Linked DNA regions of Arabidopsis thaliana. The protein of the gene in region 2 interacts with the protein of the main gene of each other region in a pairwise test. Each region holds a gene or a part of one and is shown on either strand. Other genes may lie near its edges.

Region 1 (5,589 bases), on a different chromosome or scaffold from region 2:
TTTAATTGTTAAAGTTTAATATGTGTAAAATAATTGGACACAACATCCCGTCCATAGTATGAGGTCCTTTAGTGGTGTCCTAGGTTCAATATGTTTTGCACATATTAAATTTTAACATTTATATTATTTTTATAACTATTTAAAATATAAGGTTTTTATTTTTATTTTTAAAGTAATATTTTAGACAAAATATTTTAACTTTTTAGATATACATAATATTTTGTTTTTAAGTGTTAAAGTTTAATATGTGTAAAATAATTGGACACAACATCCCGTCCATAGTATGAAGTCCTTATACGGTGTTCTACGTTCAATATGTTTTAAGTAATATTTTACACAAAATATTTTAATTTTTAAAATATACATAATATTTTTGTTTTTAAGTGTTAAATTCAATATGTGTAAAATAATTGGACACAACATCCCCCCATAGTATAAAATCCTTAAGCGATGTTCTACGATCAATATGTTTTACATAAATATAAAATTTTAACTAAAAAAGTTTTTTTTATCATTCAAAATGTCTTTATTAAATTATTTTGATTACTAATTTTTATTTTTTTGGTAGAATTGATTAATAAAAATTTGATTACTAAAATTTTAAATTTCAACAAAATGTTCTCATTTTAAAAATATTTATTACATTTTCAAACGTGAAAAGTAAACCAAGTTAGCTTCCAGTTCTTAAGATATTTTTTTGTCCATTAGAGGTGTCCTTCCGAGCTAATTCTCATTTGGCTTCCAAGAGTTTAATATGGTCTTCGTTTCCTGCTTCCGCGACTTTGGTCTTTGTGTCTTGTGGTTTGATGGGAGTGGAAGCGATGTTCTTTATTACACTAGAGTAAAGATCAAACTCTGCCTTGAGTTTATTACAGCTTGCTTGTATCCATTTCTCCGCCACACTTGTTGCTACACTGTCTTGGCTATCTCTTTCATGCTCCTCAATCGCCGGCCTTATCTCGTCGTACAATGACGAGAGTCGTACTGCTGCTTCCTTCTTCACCTCCTGCAAGCAACAATTTACCAAACACATCTGATACTGAGAAGGTTTTGAATTTGTACCTATACGCTTGAAAAACTGTTTTACCTCGTATTTGAGAACTTCATCTTGAGCTTCTTTGGTTGCTAGTAGCTGAACCACATTCGCTATGTCAACATGCTTCTGAGCGACATTCTTTGTTTTTCCGCCTGAAAACGGCCTGCCTCTTTTCTTCGGAAGAGATTCGGACTTGATCTTGGAAATGTTACCGTGAACCCGTGATACAATTGCAGTCTTTGGCGATGAATCTTCTTGTGAATTTTGTGAGAGCAGCTTCATGTCTTCAGATGTTTCGGTTTTAACAGTCTCCGTGACGACATCTTCCTCCATAGGAGTTGGAGTTGAATCTGATTGCTGTTGAATATTCAGAGCAGTAGACTCCAAATGGTTCTCTGTTGAGATATCTTTCTCTTTCTCTTCATTTGTGTTGGACTCGCCATTCTTAGAAGGCTCAGATGTAAGCTCGTCCTCTGCAGAATCATAGACTGGAATTTTATCAACTGAATACCTGGAGACAAAGAAAAGAGAGGGGCTAAAATATCGCCAGTCCAAGATGAAAAACATTCCTTTCTCGCAAGATCCATGACCATTTTTATGCCGCATAAAATAAGTGAAAAGAAAATTACCGATCGTCACCATCCTCCCATACATATGTATCCTCCTGAAATGATAGAAAGGTATAAGGTTAGGTATAGACCAGTATGATTAATTTCATTCCTCCCAATTTTTGACAAATAATACTATGAGGATGATAACGTAAGGACTTGCCTGAAAGCCACGAGACTTGGCTCCAAGAAATCCAGAGCATGCAACCGCACCACAGAGACAACGCACTTTGGCACCACCGTACCATTCAAAATTATAGTCGTAAGCCAATTCGGTCCGGGGAGAGATGCTCTCTTTTGCAAAGATCCCAACCCTAACTTCTCCCAGTACATTCCACTTCCTCGTCTCACAATTTGGTCTACTGCAGGAAAATAGAGAAAGAAACGATAAGGAACGTTTTATAGATATGAATTTCTTTGAAGCATGTAAAAAGCCAGTTGTTCGTTTTACCATGAATGATTTATAAACCTAGCAAGGCTTCCCTTCTTAGTGGCATCAATAGCCTCAGATGCATTGAGAGATATAATGTATGCATCCTTGACACCTGCTCATGTAACACATAATTAACACATCACCTAACATCACCTATAGCATTACAACACTCTCATCATCTCTGTAAAGTTTCTACTCACCATGAGTTTCATAAGTTTGAGCCCTCTTCTTTGCTTCTTTCCATGATATTACTTCACCACAGTACTCCATTATAAATTGCCCCGCCTAAATCATAGCATCAAATACAACCAGTCATTTAATCAAACCCAATTGACTATTTACTTAAGAAAAAGAATACACCAGCCATGTTATTTGCCCATTTGCATTAGATCAACGAAGTGTGACGGAAATTGTCATAAATCTTGGTAAAGAGTATCAGACATGATAAAGACACAAGAATAAATTTTGAGTCCTCACCTTTATCTCTTCAAGAGCCACTAGTCCCCAACCACGACCTTCACACTTGATCAACTTTGTTTTGGCGTATTCACATTTTTGGAACTTCTGTAACCGGCAAAGCATGTAAAACTACTAATTAACATTCATTTAACTCAATTATCATTAGTTTGAATAGGAACTTGTAAGAACATCACCAAGCTTTAACGCAAATCTTAGATTCTAGAATTACATGAAAACGTGGAAGCAAAGATTTCAAGTTGTTAACCTGATTCTTGCAATAGACACCACAGGGGCAGTAACCAGGAGTACATTCAGTGTTGGTAATGACATTGAGGCATCTCTCACCACAAGCACTGTCAGGGTCTCCGAAATCAAACTTGCATTCGCAGATAGATATATCTTCTTCCTTTTGTTTCTTGTGCCTATAGAAGCGTTAAACAAATGTGTACTTAACAACAACGCATACTGAGAAGATAACCGAAAGCCACGAGCCAGCAATCAAAGAAAGGATCTTACTTTCGATAAGAGAAGTCATTTTGATAAATGTGTTCATATTGTGGCAGCTCATCTCCTTCTTGATCCTTCACACAAAAACATCATTGGCGAAATTCGCACAAACAAAACAAACCAAATCGAAATCTCACCCAATTTCACTTACAGGATCACAAGAAAATTGCATTTTTTTGTCAGCGATTCTCGCAATCAGACTCAGGGCCTAGTATAGGTCAAGTTTCTACAAAATTAAAAACGGAAGGAGAGAATTAGGTTTATCAAACTCTGGGATTTTAAGATCGACACAAACCTTTGGAAAGGAAGAAACTTGCAGCTAGAAACGAAACCACATTACTTAACACATATTTATTTGCAAACACACAAAATTGGATATTGGTGTAAGAGGGAAAGTGGGAAACTGAAGAAGCTTACCTGAGAGTTTGAGAGAGAGAACGCGACGACGAGCGAGGACGAAGAACAATAGACGGCGTTAGGAAAAGAATGCAACCAACTTTTCTTTTTCTTTTTAAAATTAGGAAAAAACAATAGACAAAGCTAAATTAATTAAAAAGAAAAGAAAAATTATCATGTTAATAATATCGTGACCTTAATTAAAGTAGATATCATGTAACTAACATCTATGAGACCACACTATATGTCGTTTCATTGATTACATTTTGTGTTAAATCTTGTATCACGATTCTAAATTAATATTTTTGAAAAAAATATATCAAAAAAGAGGTTCTAATTTTGTTAGATACATTTATTGAGTTATAAGAAGTATCACTTTTTGGGTGTTTATATTGTAATGGGTACATGCAACTTTTTAAAATATGATCATAAAACACAAAATAAGTTATTTGGCTAGATGAAGTAAAGGGAGATGGCTCTAACGATGGCTATAGGAGTAGATAAAAAAAGAGTTATTGCCATCGCCGTCGGAGTGATTTTAGCCTTGGTGGGGTCTTGGACTATGGTTGCTCCTCAAAAATTATACAAATTTTTATATAATAATATAACCAACCCATCTCTCCTTAATTTTAATAATTTAACTTTTAATAAGATTATACAAATTTCGATAATTTAAGTAATAAAAACTACATTATATTCTTATATTTGTTGATATTATATAATAATATAACCAACCCATCTCTCCTTAATTTTTAATTACTTATTTAGTGAGTAAATAAAAATGATTAAATTGGGAAAAAAACAAGAACAAAAAAAAACTAGTCTCCACTTCATTTACTTTCCATTTTGTATTGCTTTCAGTTTTGTATAATTTGAAAATAGTAGAGCAAATCACAGCCTGGGCTTAGCTATAACTTTTTTTTTTTATCATCTAGCTACTTTTCTTTTTGTGTGCACCAATTCATCTTGCTACTTTAGTCATCATTATTTAAATTTTGCATCACATTTTCTTCCCGGTTATTATTTGAAGATATATACTAATAATATACTGTATATGATGATTGTAGCTCGGTTGAGTTAACCCTAATTAAGGTTTAGTGTGTAGACCGGGTTCAAGAGGCCTCTATATAAGTCAGAGTCTGTAACAAACTCTCTTTAACGAAATAACATGCTTTATATGAGAATTTAGAATTTCAATAAGATTATATAATTTCAGTATTACCTATTAAGAGTTTTCTTGATATTGGCTAAATTAATTAACAGGGTTACAAATTTCAGCCTAATATAGTTATTAAAAAAACGAATCAGGAAGATAAATCCCTTCGTTATGCAGCAGACACGACGTAACAACAAGGCCCGCGAGTGTTTTAAGCTCTAGAGTAGACATTTGACTGTTCAGGGAATCTTGAAGATTCTCTTCAGTTTCAATAGGAGCTTCCATTTCTCTGTCGACATTTCTTTCTGCAATTGTTATTGGTTTTAATTTCGAGCATTTGTTTTGGGTCAGAATAATGAGTCAAAGAAAACGTAGATGGGAAACAACTTATCTTATCCTTGACTTACCATGTAGTCAGCTTTGAGTATGTCGATAGATCTCCTCGAAATGTGACTCACAAGCTCATCTTCCATGTCAAAATGCCTTCCAAACATCTTCTGTTCTTCGCGATTTGAAGCAACAATCTGTTATACAACCAGAGAAAAGCATCAAGTTGAAACCTCAACAACTTTTGTCTCTCTCTCTCTTTCTCTATACAAAGGTTGTTGAAGGGAATGATCCCCTTATTACCTTAATCGCCACCTCGTCGCCCTTCTCTGCATAGTCAACAGGCTTGTGGTTGTTCTCAATAGAGGCAATGCGGCCAATATCTGTGAACTCTCTGCCCGGGACGCAAATGGGGGTTCCGATCTAAAACAAACAAGACGAATGTTAAAAGGATTGAGAATCCTTGGACATGTGAGCAAGTTACCGAGAATATAGCAGAGTAAGAATAGGATACCTTAAGTATACCGTCGTGGACCTTAACTCCAAGGATTATTGGGTCTCTCTTATTGAACACACAGTTAGGTAAAATCTGAAGGACACATGGGAAGACTGCCTCACCGGCTGATTCCTTCTTTTTCTCCTCTTTGATATTCTCAATGTAAACCTG
Region 2 (3,600 bases):
GAAAATTCGATCGGTCGATTAGTCTTTGTTTGATTTCGAAATGGCTCGTACTAAGCAAACCGCGAGGAAATCCACAGGAGGCAAAGCACCAAGAAAGCAACTCGCAACCAAGGCGGCAAGGAAATCTGCTCCGGCCACCGGAGGAGTGAAGAAGCCGCATAGATTCCGTCCAGGAACTGTTGCCTTGAGAGAGATCAGGAAGTATCAGAAGAGCACTGAGCTTCTGATCCGTAAGCTTCCTTTCCAGCGTCTGGTTCGTGAGATAGCTCAGGATTTCAAGACGGATCTGAGGTTTCAGAGCAGTGCTGTTGCTGCTTTACAAGAGGCTGCTGAGGCTTACCTTGTTGGTTTGTTTGAAGACACTAATCTTTGCGCCATTCACGCTAAGAGGGTCACCATCATGCCTAAGGATATCCAGCTCGCGAGGAGAATCAGAGGAGAAAGAGCTTGAAGACTGTTGTTATGGTTTATATCTTTTGATTTAGTTCGTCAATGGAACTCTATTTCTGGATTTTGATTTGCGTTTTAGTAGTAATGGGTTCTTGTAAGTGTTGAGCTTTGGCTCGTTTTAATTTTCAGTTGTTAGGTACTTTGGTTTAGTTAGCCTTGAAGTGTTCGATGAAATACCCCAACGAAACTCTCTCCTGTTTAATAGAACTTATTTTCCTTAATTTCTTTGGTTTTGCTGCTCGTTGATCATATAATATTGAAACATTGAAAGTTTCGATTTATTTCAGATACTGTATATAACACACTAGATATTACATTAAGCTTCAATGTAGTTACACCAATTAACTGGTGTTACCAGTTACGGATGGCATTTGGTTTTGTGGAATCGGTTGTTCGTTCCTTACTCTTCTTGATGATGAGAACAAGTTAGCACTGAAGCTGGTATAGAACTGTCTTCCACTTCTAGTAGCATTGTTAATACCATCGCAAAGTGATAAGCTTCCTCCAATTGAAAACGATCTTCTCACGTTTTCTACTCTTCCTGAGCCACAGTAGTTTGCCAAATCACTTTGTGCCCTTGGAAGAAAAATGTTATGGTTTCTTCTAGATCTGGAACTGTCTTGTCTTCCACGGAGGTCATTGCTCGATTCAGAATCTGGTTGATGATTCGTCTCTGTTTCTTGATGAGGTGGTTCAGTGATAAGAAGTACAGGGGCACGACATAAAGGACAGTTCTTGTGAGAGAGCAACCAAGTGTCGATGCAATTTAGATGAAAGGCATGGCTACACTTTGGTAACAGTCTCAGCGACTCGTCTTCTTCAAACTCGTTTAAGCAGACAGAGCATTCTGTGCCGTCGATTATCCCTTCTCCCTTTTTGAATCCAACGACTGTGATCGAGTTGATCGCGGAACGGTGGAGACCGACGGTTGGGATTTGCCAAACGTGATGAAAGTCGGAGAAATCTCTCTCCTCTGTTTCGTCCTCATCTTCCTGTTGGTTTGTGTCACCGGGAGTTACGCTGGCGGCTGAAATCCGCCGTTGTTGCGTGATGTGGAGGTAGAGGAAGAAGACTAGAAATAGAAAGAGTATGATTGAGCCGACGACGCAGATCGAGGTGGGGAGTAGGAGAGAGAGCTCCCTCGGTGGCGGTGGTGGTGGTGGCGGGGGAGGGTATTGCCGGAAACAAAAGCGTAAATCTTTAAACTGTAGACATGAAAGAAGCATTTTTCTGTGATTAAACGCCATTGTAGGAGTTCAGAGACGACATAAACAGAGCAAAAACAGAGGACTTTACTTTCAGACACAACTAGTAGAAAACAGAACAAGAACAGGGGAAAATGGGTATGACACACAATTCCAAGTTTTTGCTTCTGATGAAAGCAAAAAGAAATAGGACACTAAAACCCACAAAATGGGTTAGAATCTAGACAAGAGTCATGACCCAAAAAATCTTCGTGAGGAAATAAGTGGGTACACAGCCACACACATCACAATCTACAAGACTAGGAATTAGAGAGGATTTGTCCTTTTTAAGGGTTGGAAAGTGGGTGGAAATTTCCTGAAAGTGATAACGCCATTAAAGGCGATGTCTCTGTATGTTAGGAAGTAGTTTCCTTTCAACTTAGTAAACTCTCTGTAGACATTTACGCGTAATCAGTCATGTAGCGAGTCAAGTAAGTCTTTCATTTACAACAATCTTAATTTATTTGGCATCCGGTTTAGATTATGATCGGTTTTTTCAGTTGGTTAAAGAAGGTATAACTACCGAACTACACTATCTTCACATATGTACACATTAAGCATACCAGATGTTACAGAATATAGATACATAGGTCCGGTCTAGTCGGGCTGGGCAACGGGGTCCTCTGGGACACCTTACTCGACTAATCCGATTCCACCATGAATTGTCCTTAAATGGGCATAACAAGGTTCTTCTTGAGTGAAGACGTCTAAGCAGGTCCAACAAATGTGCTTTCCACACCGGCACTTCATATGGTTACACCCATCAGTCTTCTCTATCGTCGACTTGCAAATCGGACACTCCTTTACGTTCTTCCCTTTTGCCCAGTCCTTTAGCGACAAGTCCGGATTTTCCTTGAACTTTTTGTACCTTTCACAAGTGATTAACGGGTGATACTCGAGGTGACACCTTGTGCATATTTCTGAGTGACATGCTCCACAGATGAATGGCTCACCAGATTCTTGAGGTCCAGCTACACGGTAGACGGAAGGGCAATCAGGTGTGGAGCAAAACCTGAACTTTCCATCACTGGATGTTACAAAAGAGGACAAGGATGCGCTGAAGAGTTCATCGAGCTTCTCTTGTGATAAGAGGGCTCTCATATCAGCGAGTACTATTGGAGCTCCACAGTCTATGTGAGAACAAAGTATTGGGAATGCGTCAAAGTTTCTCATCGATGCCTCAAATTGCTCCAACAAACAAGCTTTGCAGAAGAGGTGTGAACATCCTTCAAGAGAGTAGCCATCATCAACTTCAGACAAGCAAATGGGGCATTCAACTTCAATCTCATCTGGTTTTTCACCCAGTGCACTCTTTTCTCGTGCAAGTTCATTGACCATCTTTTGTACTTCCTGCCTCATTTCTTTGCTCCCATGAACCTGAATAACATGGTACCGGGTGTTGAGCTTGAGATCCACACCATGCACCTTTTCTTTGATACCTTGGAGCTCCGGACCAAACCGCTTCACAACTTCCTTCATGAGGTCAGGACGGATCTCAGGACCTCGGAGGTGGATTTCAAGTTGCTTGCTCTCATGATAATCCATAAGTGCCTGAATCAGTTCTTGTTCTGCCTTGGCAATTTTCTCACTTGTTCCACAAATGCGTACTGTGAGATTGTGCCTATCTAATAGAATGTAAGTTTCTGTCTCCTGCTGGATCTTCCGCATCAGATTAATACCATCTCTGGACATAAGATGCTGCAGGACTCTACGTGTGAAGCCTGGATGGTTTATGGGTCTTCCTCTTAAGAGTTCTTCAAGTTCTCTCCGCATCTCCGCAACGGGTCTTGTTGCATAAGCAGTAATTTTAACACGATAAGCCCCGTTATGAGTTGGTTCCAGACAGCATTCACCCCCTACAAAAATATAAACAAACGTTAATGCACATCAAAATTTGGACAAGTTC

What was found.
Region 1: the proteins of RING1 (region 2) and ASHH1 interact in a two-hybrid assay, tested with the Arabidopsis thaliana proteins (one large-scale study listed by BioGRID).

The regions. Positions count from the first base shown.
Region 1 is NC_003070.9:28,789,157-28,794,745, forward strand, and holds ASHH1 (SET domain group 26), read right to left. Parts: upstream 3,564-5,589; 5' UTR 3,461-3,563; exon of another isoform or gene 3,270-3,460; 5' UTR 3,216-3,269; coding exon 3,195-3,215; intron 3,118-3,194; coding exon 3,053-3,117; intron 2,959-3,052; coding exon 2,802-2,958; intron 2,642-2,801; coding exon 2,555-2,641; intron 2,363-2,554; coding exon 2,278-2,362; intron 2,190-2,277; coding exon 2,096-2,189; intron 2,007-2,095; coding exon 1,808-2,006; intron 1,701-1,807; coding exon 1,666-1,700; intron 1,548-1,665; coding exon 731-1,547; 3' UTR 564-730; downstream 1-563. Other genes in the region: AT1G76720 (eukaryotic translation initiation factor 2 (eIF-2) family protein), read right to left, coding at 4,988-5,119, 5,226-5,345, 5,437-5,589. UniProt on the Arabidopsis thaliana protein: Histone methyltransferase involved in regulation of flowering time. Required for the expression of the SOC1/AGL20 gene. Required for histone H3 trimethylation on 'Lys-4' (H3K4me3) at the SOC1 locus.
Region 2 is NC_003076.8:3,265,916-3,269,515, reverse strand, and holds RING1 (RING/U-box superfamily protein), read right to left. Parts: upstream 1,882-3,600; 5' UTR 1,698-1,881; coding exon 792-1,697; 3' UTR 703-791; downstream 1-702. Other genes in the region: AT5G10390 (Histone superfamily protein), read left to right, coding at 41-451; AT5G10370 (helicase domain-containing protein / IBR domain-containing protein / zinc finger protein-like protein), read right to left, coding at 2,328-3,550.